4 linked regions of the Caenorhabditis elegans genome follow. The protein of the gene in region 4 purifies or fractionates together with the protein of the main gene of each other region. This does not show direct contact. Each region holds a gene or a part of one and is shown on either strand. Other genes may lie near its edges.

The links.
Region 1: the proteins of C05C10.3 (region 4) and etfa-1 fractionate together in Caenorhabditis elegans (co-fractionation; one large-scale study listed by BioGRID). This does not show direct contact.
Region 2: the proteins of C05C10.3 (region 4) and fkb-1 fractionate together in Caenorhabditis elegans (co-fractionation; one large-scale study listed by BioGRID). This does not show direct contact.
Region 3: the proteins of C05C10.3 (region 4) and F20D6.11 fractionate together in Caenorhabditis elegans (co-fractionation; one large-scale study listed by BioGRID). This does not show direct contact.

What each region holds. Positions count from the first base shown.
Region 1 is NC_003279.8:7,700,564-7,705,343, forward strand, and holds etfa-1 (putative electron transfer flavoprotein subunit alpha, mitochondrial), read left to right. Parts: upstream 1-1,865; 5' UTR 1,866-1,870; coding exon 1,871-1,918; intron 1,919-2,055; coding exon 2,056-2,148; intron 2,149-2,347; coding exon 2,348-2,477; intron 2,478-2,522; coding exon 2,523-2,813; intron 2,814-3,359; coding exon 3,360-3,616; intron 3,617-3,665; coding exon 3,666-3,776; intron 3,777-3,822; coding exon 3,823-3,891; 3' UTR 3,892-4,026; downstream 4,027-4,780. Other genes in the region: gna-2 (glucosamine-phosphate N-acetyltransferase), read left to right, coding at 17-311; T23G11.11 (uncharacterized protein), read left to right, coding at 618-785; T23G11.1 (uncharacterized protein), read right to left, coding at 854-1,218, 1,265-1,406; lsy-22 (STI1 domain-containing protein), read right to left, coding at 4,649-4,780.
Region 2 is NC_003282.8:11,034,878-11,038,156, reverse strand, and holds fkb-1 (peptidylprolyl isomerase), read right to left. Parts: upstream 1,576-3,279; 5' UTR 1,572-1,575; coding exon 1,444-1,571; intron 1,399-1,443; coding exon 1,287-1,398; intron 1,236-1,286; coding exon 1,056-1,235; 3' UTR 983-1,055; downstream 1-982.
Region 3 is NC_003283.11:8,195,769-8,200,771, forward strand, and holds F20D6.11 (Rieske domain-containing protein), read right to left. Parts: upstream 3,327-5,003; 5' UTR 3,317-3,326; coding exon 3,210-3,316; intron 3,130-3,209; coding exon 2,910-3,129; intron 2,787-2,909; coding exon 2,547-2,786; intron 2,505-2,546; coding exon 2,286-2,504; intron 2,237-2,285; coding exon 1,805-2,236; intron 1,757-1,804; coding exon 1,648-1,756; intron 1,600-1,647; coding exon 1,422-1,599; intron 1,377-1,421; coding exon 1,269-1,376; intron 1,221-1,268; coding exon 1,184-1,220; 3' UTR 1,006-1,183; downstream 1-1,005. Other genes in the region: F20D6.10 (uncharacterized protein), read right to left, coding at 1-34.
Region 4 is NC_003280.10:9,933,410-9,938,900, forward strand, and holds C05C10.3 (putative succinyl-CoA:3-ketoacid coenzyme A transferase, mitochondrial), read right to left. Parts: upstream 3,485-5,491; 5' UTR 3,480-3,484; coding exon 3,302-3,479; intron 3,084-3,301; coding exon 2,594-3,083; intron 2,526-2,593; coding exon 2,150-2,525; intron 2,102-2,149; coding exon 1,904-2,101; intron 1,462-1,903; coding exon 1,138-1,461; 3' UTR 1,005-1,137; downstream 1-1,004. Other genes in the region: pho-11 (Putative acid phosphatase 11), read left to right, coding at 1-168, 562-702, 748-888, 935-955; C05C10.7 (uncharacterized protein), read right to left, coding at 4,734-5,001, 5,046-5,138, 5,193-5,426, 5,477-5,491. UniProt on the Caenorhabditis elegans protein: Key enzyme for ketone body catabolism. Transfers the CoA moiety from succinate to acetoacetate. Formation of the enzyme-CoA intermediate proceeds via an unstable anhydride species formed between the carboxylate groups of the enzyme and substrate.

The sequences.
Region 1 (4,780 bases), on a different chromosome or scaffold from region 4:
ATAAATACTATTTCAGTTCTTCAAAAATTGTTGGTGCTGCCACTCTTGTAGTCGAGCTCAAGTACATTCATGAATGTGGACTTCGTGGAAGAGTCGAAGATGTTGTCGTTGATTTGACAATGCGTGGAAAAAGGCTGGGAATTCTTATCAACGAAGCTCTCGTTAAAATGGCAAGAAGTCTTGGAGTTTATAAACTTTCTCTGGAATGCAAAACAGAGCTTATCCCATTCTACAACAAATTCGGGTACAACGAGAACATCCATTTCATGGTTCAACGCTTCGACAAGCCAGAAATTATCACTTTGGACTAATATTTTCTCATAAATTCATCATATTTATTGTACGATAGAATTTATTTAGCTCTTAATTTCATTGAATAAAGCTGTGATATTCCTACGTATTACCTTTTTTAATATTTTCATGCCCAATGTGTCAGAAACAATTTAATATCTTTGAAATATACAAAAGGTTACGGTTTCTATGAAAAAACTTGAAACGCGTCAGCAGATCGGGAAATGCGCCAAGAGTGAGTGTAAGGCGCACGCCGCTCATTCAATCATTTATTTATTTGTTATGCAGTTCATCAAAGTTTTCAATGTTTTTCTATTTTTGAGATCATGATTGCTGTCACATCCGTTTGGACAAAATTCCGACGAGGTCTGCCTATTTACTCTTGGCCCCTCCTCGCCGCCACAATGATTTTCGTTGATTGGAATCACACTCGAGAATGGAAAGCAGCTGGAAGAGTTTCTGCTCTGGAAAAGGAGATTCTAGCAAAGCAATAATAAGTAGATAATAGTTGTAGAATAAATCTTTATTCATTCTGAATTTCAATGTCCGGTTCTCTTTCTTCTTAACGCGAAAAAGCAGTTGATGTTTTCATCGTCTGCAACTGTGCGGTACGCTGGTTTTCCTCCAAAAAGTGTTGTTTATTCTGATGAGCCATTGGCTTGATCATACTGTTTTGTGTAGTCTCGATGATTTCGGCAAATGTCAGCAATTTGTTGTCGTAGGAAGTCTTCAAAAGATGGAATGCAGTTTTGATGAGATCCTTCGAAACTGCCGGATTTCTGTACGAGAAATAAGCGAGGTGGAACAAGCTGACAGTTGTTTCAATGTAAAACGAAATAGCCAAGACGAAGTAGGATACAGCGACTGAAGTGAACGCCGAAATCATTTTTTCATAACTTGGTCCATTTTCAACAGCGGTTGCAGTGCCTGAAAGGATCGGTATTCATCGAAGCTTCGGCATAATACAACTTACTCAATGCAGTACGAGTAGACGCTTTTCCACGAGATCTGAGAGTCGAATTGATAGCAGTGTTTAGCTCGGAATCGCTCATCGGTGGGATGACGGCAGTGTTGGTCTCTGACTGCGCAGTACGGCTGTCGACGGAAGTTGCCATTCTTGATTCGATAGGCGTTGCTTGAAAACCTTTCGAGTTGTTGAGACTGAGCGAAAGACGAGAAGTGATTCTGTTTGAATTTGTGAGCAACGAAACCCTTTATCTGATTGTAATCGAGAATAATCGGCTGTCACGCATAATACCTTTTTTAATTTATAAAATTAAATGCGGAAATATATTTTATGATTTTCACGTTACACATTAGGAAAACCTTTTATCAAGTTTTTATTTAAATTAATTTTGGCAATTTCTACCCGCGCGCGTACTTTGACCCATCATTTTCTTGTTTTTCTTTTCTATCTCGGTCTCTCTGTATCTATCTCTCACCCATCCTTCTTATCATTTTCTTTATTTTCTTGGTGTAGTGCCCGTTTTTTTCAATCGTTCCACGTAAATTTGTTGTTCTTTTAATGTTTTTTTTTTCTTTTAAACGTTTTTTTTTATTTATGATATTTTCAGCCGAAATGCTCTCTGCAAGAACTGTCCTTAGCCGTGCTGGCTTGATCAGCAATGTAAGTTTTTTGTGAGAATCAGCTGTGGGTATATGATTTTTCGATTTCCAAGGTTTTCGAATTGAATATTCAGTAAATGACTCATAAATTAATTCCATAAATTGAAGAATAGAATTATAAAAAATATTAAATTACAGGCCTCCCGTCTGAACAGCACTCTTGTTGTCGCCGAGCACGATGAGACAAAGCTTGCTCCAATCACTCTCAATGCTATCACTGCTGCTTCTAAAGTGAGTACAGACGGAATTAAAAAAATATATTTATAAATTGTATAATTTTCAAGCGAATCGCAATGCAAAATGTGATCTATGATCATTGTTCCCTCCAAGTATTAGTTGTAGTCATGTTTCGAATCTTGTTAGTTATTTACAAGAGTACAGACCCTATTTTGTAGCGCGCTTCCAACTATTTTAACTAATTTTATTTCAGCTCGGAAATGAAGTATCTGTCCTCGTCACTGGAGCCAACGCAACAAAGGTTGCTGAACAAGTTGCAAAAGTGAATGGAGTGAAAAGAGTTCTTGTGGCTCAAGATGAGAAGCTGAAGAATAATCTTCCAGGTAATATAAACCGAATTAATTTTTCTATTATGCTCGTATTTTCAGAACGAGTGGCTCCAGTTATTCTTGCTTCTCAAAAACAATTCAATTTCACCGCCATCACCGCTGGATCTTCAGCATTCGGACGTGGAGTTATTCCAAGAGTCGCCGCTAAGCTTGACGTATCTTCAATCTCTGACGTCACTGAAGTTCATTCGGCTGACAGTTTCACTCGCACTTTGTATGCTGGTAATGCAGTTAAAAAAGTGAAGAGCACCGCACCGATCAAGCTTCTCACCTTCCGTGGAACATCGTTCGAACCAGCAAAGGAAGGAGGAAGCGGCGCTGTTGAAAATGGTAACATAGAAAATCGTTTTATCCAGATGCGAAGATGCGAAGGATTTTGCTCCAAGAATAAGGTACCTGCTCTCGAAGCGGCAGTTTTACTCGAACTCGAATAAGTGTATGGCTTTTAAGGGGTACTGTAGTTTTTACTTGTTAGCGGATTTTCTGAGATTTTCCGAGTTTTTCTTCTGTTTCTTCAAAGTTTGAAATTTTAAAATGTTAAAAACGGACGAAAACTTCAAAAAAAAAGTCGAAGAAAAGCTTGCAACAACCAACTACAGTAGCCCTCAAAGACGCAAACACATTTTCATTTAAGAAAATCTGCCGCTTAGAGACCGGGTGCCGTATTAGAGATAAAATCGCAAAATATCGCATCTGGGTAATATATGAAAGAAAGTACGTAAAAATTTGCCTGAAAAACGAACCCCCAGAAACTGGCCGAGCCTACTTTTCTTGTTTATTTTTATTTTTTATGACTGAGTAGGACAATTCGAGACAGTTATCCCACAATTGATAGTCCACATTTAATCCTGATCTTTGTCAAAAGTCTTTATTCAGCCCCATCCGCTGATATCAAAACCGACCTCAGCGAATTCCTTGGCCAAGAATTGAGCAAGTCTGAACGTCCTGATCTTGCAACTGCCAAAGTCGTCGTTTCTGGAGGACGTGGATTGAAGAGTGGAGACAATTTCAAGCTCATCTATGATCTTGCTGATAAGCTCGGAGCCGGAGTCGGAGCATCCCGTGCCGCTGTTGATGCTGGATACGTACCAAATGACATGCAAGTCGGTCAGACTGGAAAGATTGTAGCGCCGGTAAGAAATCCATTAAGTGAGAAGCAAAGAAAAATGAATTAATTTATAGGAACTCTACATTGCAATCGGAATTTCTGGAGCCATTCAACATTTGGCTGGAATGAAGGACTCAAAGGTGATTGTCGCCATCAACAAGGATCCTGATGCACCAATTTTCCAGGTAAAAATTGAATTTAACACAAAATTGTTAATTCTAAATAATTCAGGTCGCTGATATTGGATTGAAAGCCGATTTGTTCAAGGCCGTCCCAGAACTGACTGCTGCTCTTCCATGAATACCTTCAAATAGCCTAATGTAGATGTGTCTTCTAAATTATTGTATTCTATTTAGTAACTCGGTTTATCGGGATATTGTGATTTTCGTTTTTATGCTTTCAATGTGAATAAACAGCCAAATCTGTTTTATGAGCGTTATCACGCGATTCATAAAGAACAATTGAGAAGAGCAACACTGGAGAAAACCGAAATGAGAATTTTGTATCAAATATCATATTCACAAGAAGCACGGAAACAACGAGAAAATGCGAGACAAGTGAGGTGACGAATTGATAGATAAATACTGGAAAATTTGAAACATTCCTGGTGATGGTTTTGTGATTGGGAAATTACTCTTCTATTAATCAAAACGAGATACCCGCTGCGGGATGCAAAAAAAAGCGAATGGGGAGGATTGGGGGGAACAAGAAACTGAAAGATTTCTCAAATTTTTGAAGAATAAAAATGATGAAACTGATGGGCTGGAATAACAAAGAGATCGACAAAAAAGTCCGACGCAGCAGAGAACATTATGAGAATTTCATTTTAAAATGGACGGCGATTGAAAAAAAAAGAAACAACGAATATTTAAAACGGAAAGTTGGACCTGTATTAGAATGCGAAAAGGCCAAACATAAAAACAATATTTTTCAAAAAAGAAAAAATGGATCCAGAGGTCAGCCGCCACCGAAAAAGGAGGATTTTGAGAGGATGAGAGATTACACTATATATCGATAGATATCACAATCGATAATACTAAAATATGTCGGTACAGGATCAAGCAACCGCCACTGTCGAATTTTCTTCTTGTTTGATTGTTGCAGTAGCAGTAGTTGCGGCCACAGCAGCAGCTACATCATGTTCCATTGTCTGTGGTTCTTCTTCTTTAATCGTTGGTTCTGTGGTGGG
Region 2 (3,279 bases), on a different chromosome or scaffold from region 4:
AATATTTTATGATTTATTCTTAATCCTCAAAAATCGAATAGAAATCAATATTCGGAAAACAGAAAAAAAAATGCAGAAAATGACACATCTGTCAGTGGTGGTCGCAGTAGCAGACACCGAAAAATGATGGGATGGGAGCCTGTCAATAGAAACACAAAAAAAACGAAAAGCGTAGGCAAACAGAAAAAGCGTTAGATTATCATAGATCTCAAAAAAATAGAGAATTCAAAAAACCAAGTTCAAAATTCTAGAGAAAATATCGAGTCCTATCAAATTTCCATCACGCTCCGTTGGTTTCAAGAAGACGGATTATGCAAATATTACTCCCGAAACCACGTTGAATTTTCAGTGCGAAATGTCAGTTTTATTATTCATACTTTTATACATCAAAACTGAAGAAGAAAGCAGTGAGAGAAAGGAAATACAAGGCTCACAAATACTCTCACAGGAGGCTCTCAAGGAATACTCAATTTACTCGTGTGTTGAGAGAAGACAACGAAGAGCAAGAATCGACCTCAATTTATAACTATTGTTAGGATGGAGCATGAACAAAAAAAAAGAGAAAAGAAGCATTCGGATCGTTGGTGCAATAATTCATGGATGCCAGTTTTAATTGGGTTTCTACTAATAGAATTCCAATTTTTTGTTTATTGTTCGACATTTTCAAAAATGCATTTCCTTTTTCGATTCGTGCTTTTTATTTACAGAGGAACCACATACTTGAATTCTAATATTTACGAAACTGTTGATTCCAGATTTTCAGATTAAAATAATCATTCTTAAAAACTAAGAAAGCAAGGCATTACTAGGTAAGAAGAGAAAAAGGTGTATGGAAATTGATAAATGTCTCGCACACCCTATCATTTTCGCTGACAGAGTGCAATACAAGGTGATAAAGAGAAGCGAGACGCGGTTGTGATCAATGGCCGCAGACGGTCCAAATATATAGAATGGGCATGTTTATAAAGACAAAAAAAAAAACTGCAAAAAAAAATTATACTCTGAGAACATGAATAAGTTACAAAAGGCACGTTTTCTAAATATCCGTAGTTCGTTTACAATTCTTCTCCGTCTCTGTCAATCTTCATGAGCTCAACGTCGAACTTGAGGACAGAGTTGCCTGGAATCTTTGGTGGGGCTCCACGTTCTCCGTATCCAAGGTGTGGTGGAATTGTGAGAATACGACGCTCTCCGACGCACATGTTAAGAAGTCCTTGATCCCATCCCTTGATCACCTATAATTTCAATTTTAATTATTGATATTGGTTTTTTCTTTAAAAACTAACATTTCCTTGTCCAAGAGTGAAAGTGAATTCTTCATTGCGAGTGCGGCTGGAATCAAATTCAGTTCCATCGAGAAGGGTTCCGGTGTAGTGCATGTGCAATTGATCACCCTTTCTGTAAATTTAACATTTTTATTTTAATTAAAAAGAGTAAGCTTACCTGGATTTCTGAACGCAGTTCTCGGCACGCTTCTTGACTCCAATTTGCAATTTATCGATTTTCTGCTCATCGGCAGCATATGCGATCGCCAATAGGCACAAAAGTCCAACGATAACAGCGGTTTTCATGATCCTACAACAATACAATTGATTTTTAGAAGCACAATACAACGAAAAATTATTGAAAAAATACGTTATGAATAGAAAAATGGACAGAGAAATCAGTGCAAAAGAGCAATCGAAGGTGTGCAAACAAAAGTCAAGCAAACGTGGCGTTGTGACGCAGAGAAAACGAGTAATGGGTCAGCAAAAGTTGTTGGCGCAACTTTTGTCGGATTTTTAACTCATAGTTCATAGTTTTTGAGTTTTCCCGAGTTTTAAACAGATTTTTACCGTTTTCTTTACAAATTTTACAAAATAATTCAGTTTTTCTATTATAAATAATTAATTTCAGACAAAATGAGTGCCAAATCTCTCGCAAAGGCTGCCTCAAAGCCTCGGCATCAATCCACTCCGTTCCCAAAAACGGAACAGATTGGTTTTCAACTGAAACATTCAAAAATCCAGTAAAAACGAGGAAATTTAGTGCACATGGGATAGATGTGATCATCGCGGGTTCTATACGATTTTAGTTTCTTCTGTGAATCTCCTCTCTACCTAATGAGTCCTGACAGAATACCGGCAGTATTCTGGGGTCTCATTAGGTTTTAGTTTCTTCTGTGAATCTCCACTCTAACTAATGAGTCCTGACAGAATACCGGCAGTATTCTGGGGTCTCAGTAGGTTTTAGTTTCTTCTGTGAATCTCCTCTCTACCTAATGAGTCCTGACAGAATACCGGCAGTATTCTGGGGTCTCATTAGGTTTTAGTTTCTTCTGTGAATCTCCACTCTACCTAATGAGTCCTGACAGAATACCGGCAGTATTCTGGGGTCTCATTAGGTTTTAGTTTCATTTCCAACTCTCCACTAAACCTAATGAGTCCTGACAGAATACCGGCAGTATTCTGGGGTCTCAGTAGGTTTTAGTTTCTTCTGCGAATCTCCTCTCTACCTAATGAGTCCTGACAGAATACCGGCAGTATTCTGGGGTCTCATTAGGTTTTAGTTTCTTCTGTGAGTCTCATCTCTACCTAATGAGTCCTGACAGAATACCGGCAGTATTCTGGGGTCTCATTAGGTTTTAGTTTCATCTGTGAATCTCCACTCTAACTAATGAGTCCTGACAGAATACCGGCAGTATTCTGGGGTCTCATTAGGTTTTAGTTTCTTCTGTGAATCTCCTCTCTACCTAATGAGTCCTGACAGAATACCGGCAGTATTCTGGGGTCTCATTAGGTTTTAGTTTCTTCTGTGAGTCTCCTCTCTACCTAATGAGTCCTGGCAGAATACCGGCAGTATTCTGGGGTCTCATTAGGTTTTAGTTTCTTCTGTGAGTCTCCTCTTTACCTAATGAGTCCTGACAGAATACCGGCAGTATTCTGGGGTCTCATTAGGTTTTAGTTTCTTCTGTGAATCTCCTCTCTACCTAATGAGTCCTGACAGAATACCGGCAGTATTCTGGGGTCTCATTAGGTTTTAGTTTCTTCTGTGAATCTCCACTCTAACTAATGAGTCCTGACAGAATACCGGCAGTATTCTGGGGTCTCAGTAGGTTTTAGTTTCTTCTGTGAATCTCCTCTCTACCTAATGAGTCCTGACAGAATACCGGCAGTATTCTGGGGTCTCATTAGGTTTTAGTTTCATTTCCAACTCTCCACTCTACCTAATGAGTCCTGACAGAATACCGGCAGTATTCTGGGGTCTCAGTAGGTTTTAGTTTCTTCTGTGAATCTCCTC
Region 3 (5,003 bases), on a different chromosome or scaffold from region 4:
TAGTGGGGTTCACGGAGCCGAGCCGTTCCGTCATTTTGACTCATGCAGTGGACAAGAATCAAAATTAAAAATTCAATTTCGAAGAGTTTCAGAAAGTTTGAAACACGCGTTTTAATTTCCGAAATAATTAGTCACATTTGAGTTATGGTCGAGACGAAGTACGGTATCTGAAATTTCAGAAGATTTTGGAAAATTCAAGGTAACAGGTGTAACAAAAAATAATAATCAAGTTCAAAAAAGTTTTATCATATAATCACATCGATATCGAGCAAAGGGTCTGTGGAGCCAAGTCTCTGGAGGTTTTCTCTAATGCTACGTTGTCTATACTCTCTCACAATCAAACACTCTCTAATATCTCACGGACCCGATGACAAAGAGGAGGACTCGTCGACACATGTGACAAACGGTGGCGGTATATCCAGTGGAGTGAAATGTAGGTGATAGACCAAGAGTGAGAGAGATGAAAAAGAAAGAAGGTGAAGAAGGTACGAGTTGGATGATATCAAGACACAGAACGACAAGTTTATCTCTATTAGCAAGGGTCTCCGGATGAGCAAAGAGTTAGTGATAAACGGAAGAGTGAGTGCCTCTCGTCGCAATCAAAACCAATGTTTTATCACCACCGGGCCAAGAAATGAAGAAGTGAAATGAGAGAATAAGCCGGGTAAGAAGGTTGGTATCCGGGTTGAGTCAAATGCAAGTCAAATGAGTGGATTAAGTTACAAGTCTTATCACAGTTTGCTGTCTGGGATTTGAGACGTGACACTGCTCATGATTTGTGAGTTTTGGCATTTTCACAAATCAAACTAAAGAGTTGTAGTGTAGTTATTTATTGCATGTGAAAATTACACTCGTTTTATGAACTTCCTTGTTGAAAACGTTCATTTTATGGTTACTGAAGATCAGTCTCTACAGAAGAGCATCTCAATTGAGTTTATACATTTTCAGAGTTTTGACTGGTTCTGTGGTTTTTTGTGAAACAATCAGGTGCATTGTTATATTTCTAATATTTCTCAGTTTTTATTAAAGGAAGAGCCAATGGTTTTTTTTTTCAGAAATCGGATTTTTGGGAACAGCGAATACATATAAATCAGTTTTTAGTTCATTCCATAAAAAACACAAAAAAAATTTTTTTTAATCAAACAAATAGTTTATTTATTTACTGCTGAATTCCTACACTCGTCTATAGCAGAAGATGTCCCCAAGTGTGATCGCTGCTGCTGCAAGTTTATTTGGGTAATTGCATTAATGTTTAAATTAAAACTAACTTTTTCAAATCCTTCAGAGTGACTTCGATTCCTTTTTTGAAAATTTCAGCGAACTGGGAGGCAACACTGGATGGACCACCAGCAGCTACAGCTACGACTTTGTCTTTTCTTAAAGTTTTTACTAACATGAAAAATGTATAATTGTTCACTTACTTCAAGAAGTATCGAATGAAAGTTCCAGTTTCAGGATCTCCATTAGTGTATTCCTTTGTGGATCCTTGATTGCATCCTGAGAACTTCAAACCAAACGCAAAGAAAAACAGAGTCCAAAAGTATGGAACAATAGGTCCAGGTTGAGGTTTTCCAACAATAGTGTATCCAAGATGTTGTCCTAAAATATTAAACATCGATAGTTAAATTTGAATATCTTCTGGTTTACCATGTGCTTGAGCAGTTTGGAAGTGTTGAATATTGATACTGTCAATATCCCAAAGTGGGAGAGGAGCTGTGACAACATCACCCATTGCGAAGATGTAGCTGATATTAGTCTGAAGTATTAGAGATTAAAAAAGCATCATAAAATAAACTAAACCCACTCTAAACTTTTCATCAACTTCAATGAATCCTCTATTGTCCAATTTGATACCAGATCCTTCCAAAAACTTAGTGGCTGGGGTAACACCAATTCCACAAACAAGAAGATCTACATCAAGCTCTTTTCCATTCTCTAAAATAACTTTTGAGACTTCTCCTTGATCGTTTCCACGAAGAGCAACCACATTTGCAGCCAGCTCGAACTTTACTCCTTTTTCTTCAAACTTCAGACGGATTCCTTTACCAATATCTGATCCAAAAACTGGAAGAGGCTCCGGAGTATTGGAAATAACTGTAACTGACGCAGCTTTTTCTGCCAGAGCGGATGCCACTTCCATTCCGATAAATGATGAGCCTACACAGACGACGTGCTTCCCAGGATGAAGGTTGGAAATTATGTTGGCTTCTTCTACTTTACGAAGGTAGCAAATATTCTGGAAATTGCACATGTTTATATTTTTCAGATTTTCGTTTTACTCTCACTTTCAAATCTGATCCGGGTACTTGCAACTTTCTAACATTTCCTCCAGTAGCAATAATTAGTTTTGAATAAACAACAGTTTCTCCGTTCGATAAACTGACTTCTCTACTTTTATGATTTACTGCAATCACCGATGTTTTCAAAAGAAATTTGACATTTCTCTCTTCGTAAAACGCATCATCTTTTCTCAAACGAATATCCTCTCCGGTTGCTGCTGGTTTCTGAAAATCATAGGTAATTTAGAAAAAAAGATTTAACATTACCTTAGACAGCAAGACTCTATCATAAGGCGGCAAAGACTCTTCTGAGATTACTAAAATTGGGGTTATAAGACCATTAAGTCGAGAATGCTCAATGAATGTAGCTGTAGCTACACCACCACCGATAATCACAACTGGTCGATCATTACACTGCTTCATTTTTGGAAGATGTCGAATTCGACGATCAGAACCTAGCTTCTTTTCAGTTGTCTTGATAATAAGGTTTCCATCGTTGACAGTAACCTGGAAAAATATAATTGTTTGATTACAAAAAAAGGACAACAAAGTTTAATCAGTCACCTCCAACTTTTCAAAAAAGAATTTGTCCAAAAATGCGAAAACAATAAATTTTTGGGTGCCACTTACCACATAAGAATGAAGACTGTCAAAGCCTGGATAGTCTTCAATATCTCCCGATCGAACATTAAAGCAAGCTCCATGAAGTGGGCACCTAATTCTTCCTTTTGCATATGTTCCATTCTCCAATGAGAAATTGTAATGAGAACACAATCCATTAATAGCGTAAATTCGACCCTCGTCGTTAATCACCAAAACTTTACGATCACGAACTTCGAACATTTTCTTACTGGAAAAAGACAATGTTATTTTTTAAATTTTCTTTTTAAAACTTTAGAGAACTGTTTTTAAAAAGTTGAAATTACTTACGTTCCTGGCGGTACATCTTCGATTCTACCGAGAATTTCCTCCACTGCCGGAGAATCATCATTGTCACATTCCGGCTCAACAGGGGTTAGCCAATTGGCGAGAGCCATTGTTATTATACTGGAATATTAAAGAAATGTACGTGTAAATTCGTTTTTTTTTCAGAAAATCAAGGAAAAGAATGATAAATAAACGTAGTCATCAGTCATCAATTTTTGTTATCAATAAGAGTCTATAGATGAAAGTTTAATTGAAAAAACGTACAGTTTTCAAACTTTGTCCTAGAGGTTTCGGGCAAATTCTTCGTACAAAAAATAACAAAAATATAAAAATGGGGCTACAGAGACCAATTGGAGCACTTTGAGTTGTAGGAACAAGAAAAAGGAAAAGAGAAGCACACGAAAGGCTGGGTCTATTTGCTAGGCGGCAAATGGAAATGCTGACAAATGCCTGACACTGGCATGTATCTAGGATAGTTGACCACAGAGAAAAAGAAACTTTGTGATCGTTACAATTTTTAGTTCACACCTTGTATACTTATTAAACTAGGGTAAAAGAAAGTCAAGGTGAAAGCCAAAAAATGCTTTTAAGTCTTGAAATACCAGAGCTTCAAAGAGAAAAATCAACGAAGATGTGGGAAAACAACAACATATTTCAAAACATCCACGTTATCAGTTTTTGGTAAACAATATTTGTTTGCGTGGAAGGTTTTTGTAAACGAAGCGTTATTTTCTGAATTATTTTTTTTTTCTGATTAATCGTAATGGTTAGAAATGTTTTCGAATTTTTTATTTGAAACTATGTTTCTGTACTTACGGAAAATTTTCCAAAACGTTTAATTTTCAGTATGTCCAATTTATACATCAAAGACTCTAAACTTTAGATTTAAATCTTATTGAAATTAGTAAATTTTGAATGAAAATCTCGACAATAAACCACTAGAAGATCATCAAGGTTAAACGAAGTAAACAAGAAAAACTGGAGAAGAAAAAACGTCGAAACGATCAGTTGAAGGAAACATGATCCTTCATATTGGAACGAAACGCTCAAAAATCAAAATTTGTCGTTTGAAAGTTTAACCTTTAAGTTTGAAAATGATACGTCTTAATTGTTTTTTTTAAAAATCGGTATCACTAGCTTTAAAAAAAAGTGCAAAAACGTTAAAATGGAAAATCCCTTTTCTTGAAAACCGAGAGATGAAGAGAACCGAGACATACAAACAAAACTCTCCGTAGAACGGCCTATGGTGACACTCACAAACAACAACATAATTGGGAGAATTGAGAGAAATAGTGGGAAAATGCGGAAATTTAGGAAAAAGAGGTTCAATGAACATATTTATAGAGACAATTGTTTTTGGACGGGAAAATGTGAACTTATGGGCTATGAAAATTTTTATAAAAGTACGATTACTTCCTTGCCGGAATTTCAATTTCAAATAATCAAAGCTGATAATTTAGTTCAAAATAATATTCCACAATAATCATATAATGTTTAATTTTCAGTAGTTTCATTCGGGATAGTTGTAAAGAACAATTTTGTGAACGATAATTGCAAAAAAATCGTCTTTTATCCAAAAATCTCATGGCAAACAAAATTATATTTCAAGCTTGTTTTCAAGCTTTAGAATCACATTTTTCAAGCTTTAGAATCAAAGAATCAGAAATCATAAGAATTTCATTTTAAGCTTTGATTACCACATAAATCATTTGGTATGGATGAATGATGCTTTTCGTTTTTTGGTTTTGTGACCATATTTTATGAGTCCACCGGAATTTTATAAAAGCTCGGGTCTCT
Region 4 (5,491 bases):
GCTGTCACTTCTTCCGGGCTCGATGTGGGTCTTGAAATCAAAAAAGTTCGATCCGGAGTTATTATCAATGAAGTTTTCAATCGTGCCAATGAAAAATTGAATTGTGCAGAGCTGGGACAAAACTGCACTAGCTATTTGAATAAGCTGAAATTCTATGGATATTCTATTGTAAGAGATTTTAAAGTTTACTCCATAATTTAAGTTCAAAAATGCATGATATCTAGCCACGATCTTACCGTAGTTGGGAATACGGTAGACTACGGTAGTATTACTGTACTTGACTGGAAGTTAAGTATACCATCATAGTAGGTAGGAATCTGTTCATCCCTAGCTACCTCTGCCTACCTCATGCCGAGGCACCAGTCAAGGCTTGTCGGAATGTAGGCAAGCATTGTAGGTAACTCTAAGAAATTGAAATATAAAAAAAAAGAAAAGAAAAGCTAGTTACTTTTCATGCGAATTTTTTCAGGATTTTCAGAAAAAAAAATTTTGACAAAAAAAATGTTTTTTTTAATTTTTGAAATCAATTTTCCAAGATCTCACAACAAATTCGTTTTCCAGCATGACAACAATGTGTACGGTGTCCTGGTTGCTCTTGGTATTCCACAAATCGCTAACACACTTGACGGATGGCCAGCATACGCAGCTGGAATATTTATGGAATTCCACAGAAACACGTCAACAAACGAGAGATTCTTCAAGGTATTCCAGAGAGAAACCAGAAAATTCGAACAATTAAATTTTCAGGTTCTGTACCGTGAAGGAGATGACACTCCGATTTCTGATGTGACAAGTCAACTTCCAATTTGTAATGGAGCCACCTTGTGTCCACTTGGAGCTCTTCAGACTTTGGCCGAGACACTGAAGCCACTTCCAGATATTACTACTGTAAGCTCTTGTTTCCAAAAATTTCGACTTTATAAAAAATTTTCAGCTCTGCAAAACTCCTCTATGAATTACTGGAACTGTAATTTTTGTTGTAACTCAATTTTTATATTTTTTTATGAACTATTTCATTAAAACTCTTTTTGTTCACACAATCCTAAACCGGTATTATAGGCAAAAGACAAAAAAGTAACAAACAACGGACTAAAGAAGTATTTACACATTTCACGGAAATTTGTCAAAATTGACAAATTATCCTTGATTAAGAGGAGCCTGTCCCATTGGCTTCAGATTTTCGGAAATTTCGAATTTGCAAGCGGTGAGTTTCTTGATATCATCTACAGTAAGATCCTTCCTGACTTCGATCAATGTCAATCCGTTCTTTGTGTCCACGTCGAAAACTGCCATATCAGTAATGATTCGGGAAATTACTCCTTTGCCGGTCAGAGGAAGTTCGCAGTGCTCTAGAATTTTTGGCTCTCCGTTCTTCGATACATGCTCCATTACAACGATCACACGGGCTCCGGGAGCAGAGACAAGATCCATTGCACCGCCCATTCCTTTCACCAATTTTCCCTGGAAAATTTTAGAAATTTATTAAGATGGAAGATTAAGCGGAAAAGTATATTTTTATGAAGTTGTCTAAATTTTTTGTTTTTGGGGGTTTTTCGTTTTTTTTTTAAAGTTTTTTCGGACCAACAAAATAAATTCAGATATATATTTAAGAAATAAAATCAAGATTTTTTGGAGTTTTGTAGAATTAATATTTTTAATCAAAAAATTATTTTTATTGAGACTAGATCTGGCCAAAATTGTTCGGTTAATAATTTTCGATCAGTCTATGTGCTGCGTGCATTTTATTTAATTTGAGTTGCTTATCTTTTTTAGTTGAAACTTCGAGCGTTTTTAGACATCACTGATAAATAATTTCAGATCACTGATCATATTTATCTTATCACTCGGTCGATTAAAACACAAAGAACGAATTATCAGTGATCTATTTTTTCTCAAAGCTCACCGGAATCATCCAATTCGCTAAATCTCCAAACTGTGAGCACTGAAGTGCACCGAGCACAGTAATATCCATATGAGAACCACGAATCATTGCGAATGATTCATCAGAACCAACAATTGAAGCTCCTTTGAGAAGAGTAATTGGCTCTTTTCCAGCATTAATGAGATCGGCGTCTTCTGTTCCTTTTCTTGGATATGGTCCCTGAAAAACAAAAATGAAAATAAAAATAATTAATTTAAATTTCCTTACCACTCCAATAATACCATTCTCACTTTGCAAATGAACAGTAAATCCATTTGGTATATAATTTGGCGCCAAAGTCGGAATCCCGATACCCAAATTGGCGTACATTCCATCTGTGAACTCCAAAGCTGCACGTGCTGCAATGATTTCTCTCGATTTTCCAGCAGCCGATGTAGATGGTTTTATTGGTCCTTCGTGTGCGAACATTGGCCGTTCGATTGGTTTTTTGTAGTTCTTTCCCAAAACTAGACGATGACAATAGATTGATGGAATGTGCACATCGTTTGGAGCAATTACTCCCGGTTCGACGATTTCCTCTACTTCGACGATGGTGCATTTAGAGGCTTTGCACATTGGATTATTGAAATTTCCAGCAGCATGTCTGAAATTTTGATTTTTGTTGTTGTTGTAATTTTTCAAAAATGATTTTTTAATTTTTTTAATTCTTACCTGAATTGAATATTTCCAAGAGTATCTGCTCTCCACGCCTTGATCAATGCAAAATCTCCCCAAATAGCCTCTTCCATTACATAATTAATTCCATTGAATTGTCGTGTTTCTTTCGCTTTACTTGCAACTTCAATCTTTCCTTTTTCAGTTTTACTGTACTTAATCGGAGCACCTCCTTCTTGAATCTGGGTACCGTATCCTGTTGGTGTGTAGAATGCGGGAACACCGGCACCAGCTGCACGAATTCGTTCGGCGAGTGTTCCTTGTGGTGTGAATTCCAACTCGAGCTCTCCGCTAAGATATTGTCGAGCAAATTCTCCGTTTTCACCGACGTACGATGAGATCATTTTCTTGATTTGTCGAGTTTGAAGGAGCAAGCCAAGTCCCCAATTATCAACTCCCGCATTGTTTGATACACATGTAAGACCTTTTTGACCAGTTTTTGTGATAGCTTGGATGAGATTTTCTGGGATTCCGCATAGTCCGAAGCCTGAAATTGGTTACTTTATTTCTATTGATATTAAAGTATTTTCAAAATTGCCGAGACACATTTTTTTGTGATTTTCGCGCCAAAAATACGGTAACTGTTCTCAACACAAACATTTTCGTTGAATGCAAAAAGGTAAAGAGTACTGTAATTTCGACTTACCGTATTTTTGGCGCAAAAATCGCAAAATTTTGGTAACATAAAAAAATTCCAAATCTTACCGCCAACTAAAAGCTTTGCATTATCTGGAATATCCTTCACGGCTTCTTCGGCAGAGTTAAAGACTTTTGCTTTCATCGAGGATGTCATTGAGATTAGCCTCATTTGATGAGCATTTCTCGGAGTTTTTCTCAAGATTCCAGCTGCTGGAGCCGCCCATATTTTTGAGAGAATCGGCATTTTATCTGAATGAAAATTTTTTTAATTTTGGAAAAAGAAACAATATATTTAGGATTATAAGATGGAAAAACCAGAAAGTCAAATTTGTGGAACAAGGAATCGGTATTAAGTAGAAAAGATTATAATTGTGTGTTGATACTCGATAACAATTTCCGTGTTGCGTATTTGATTTCTTATCAATATTATTTACAATAAAGTAGCGGAAACGTACAAATAAAACGTTTTAGTGATGGGAACGTCTCATTTACTGAAAATAATAAAACCCGGTATCGACACGACAATTTTTTATTTATTACGGTACCAAGTACGCATTCTCATGATTTATTGTTCCCGTAATAACGCGAAGAGGAGTGCGCTTTTAAAATGTACGGTAATTTCAAACTATCGTTTCTGTATGATTTTCATAGATTTTTTCACAGTTTTTCAATTATCTCAAGTATTTCAAAATATTATCAAGAAAACTAAAACAAAACAATAAAAACAGTTAAAGTTTAATGCGAGAAAAAATATAAAAATTTTGCTGCAACGAAATTTTAAAACTACAGTACTCTTTAAAGGTACACATATTTTTTCAATTAACAAACTTTGCAGTGTCGAGACCGGGTTCTGTATTTTTAGTACAAAAGTTGCAAAAATAACGCGTCTGGGTAAAATTTTCAATGTTAATTCCGATGGGGCTCTAGAAAAATCATGATAAATTCACTGAACTAATAAAAATTTAGAAAACTGTTATAAAATCTTAATTTTTAGAGGTAGAATTGTCTAAAGCAAAAAAAAAACTAAAAACCATCAGTAGCCAATAGTCTGAGCGAGTGTGTCACAACTTGAGTACACAAAAACGTTTCTTTTTCGCATTTTTTGTCTACTTTTTATAGAGACGCAGACAGAAAATCAGGGAAAATGAGAAGTGAAGTTAACTGAAGGTCTGGGAAACACGTGGTTGTGAGACTGGCGAAAAGTTTTGAGAAGAAAAATTCGGGTGATATTTGGGAGGAGTTCTGCCTTGAGAAGTTTGATGTTTGAAGTGTGATCTGTGATAAGGATGGGAGGGCAACAGAGACAGGTGGCCAGGACACAAGTGTGCTACTGACGTTAGCTTCTTTTTAAATAAAATTTTCAAATGTAGTTTACTGTCATTTTAGCGAATTGTACAATTAAAAAAATATATATAAATCCGTACATAGTTACGAATAAGAGCAATTTTAATAAAACATATGTTTTTTTTAAATTTTTATTCAAGATTTAAAAGATAACTTAACAAAATCTGCGGTACATAAACCAACAAATAGGAATGACGGCTAATGCACCGGAAACGTATAAAAGTTTCGAAAATTTGGATATAATTGGGGTCTCATCTTGCGCTTCTTGTGTAATCTGGTCCTGAAGATCCTCCACGTCGATCAGCATGATTTTAACAGTTGACCGGAACGCTCGGATCATTTGAAGAAGATTCTTCACATTTTGAGAATCATCAAAGCCCAAATCACGACGTTGTTGAGGAGAATATTCATCAAGGAGCTGTCTTAAAATTGACAATTGATGAAAAGTTTGATTTCCAAGACCGACCCGCAATGAATAAGTTGTCGCTTCATTTTGTGTACTCCCATTTCGGATTTTGTGAGGACGTCGTGGAGACGAATGACGCATACTGACTTTTCTCTGGAAAAAGGCAAATTTAATTCTTTATAAAATGTATACTTTTAAAAAACGCACAGGTTGTTTTCAGGGCAAGCTAGGCTGTTGAAAACTGTACTGGCATCCCAATCCAGAACTTCCGACTCTCCAGCTTCTCCAAACGCTGTTTCTTTTGAAAGTACAACTGGACTTTCTCCCAGAAATGAGCCAACAAACTCGGATTCGAACTTCCTTGGAACCTCTTCCTTTTTGATGATTTTTGGAGTTTCTTCTTCGACTATCAAGAATTCTTTTACATGGATCTGAGGTGATCTGTAAAAGTTAATATTAGAATTATTATTAGTTATTAAAATAAAACAAACCTTAGCTCAAATCCT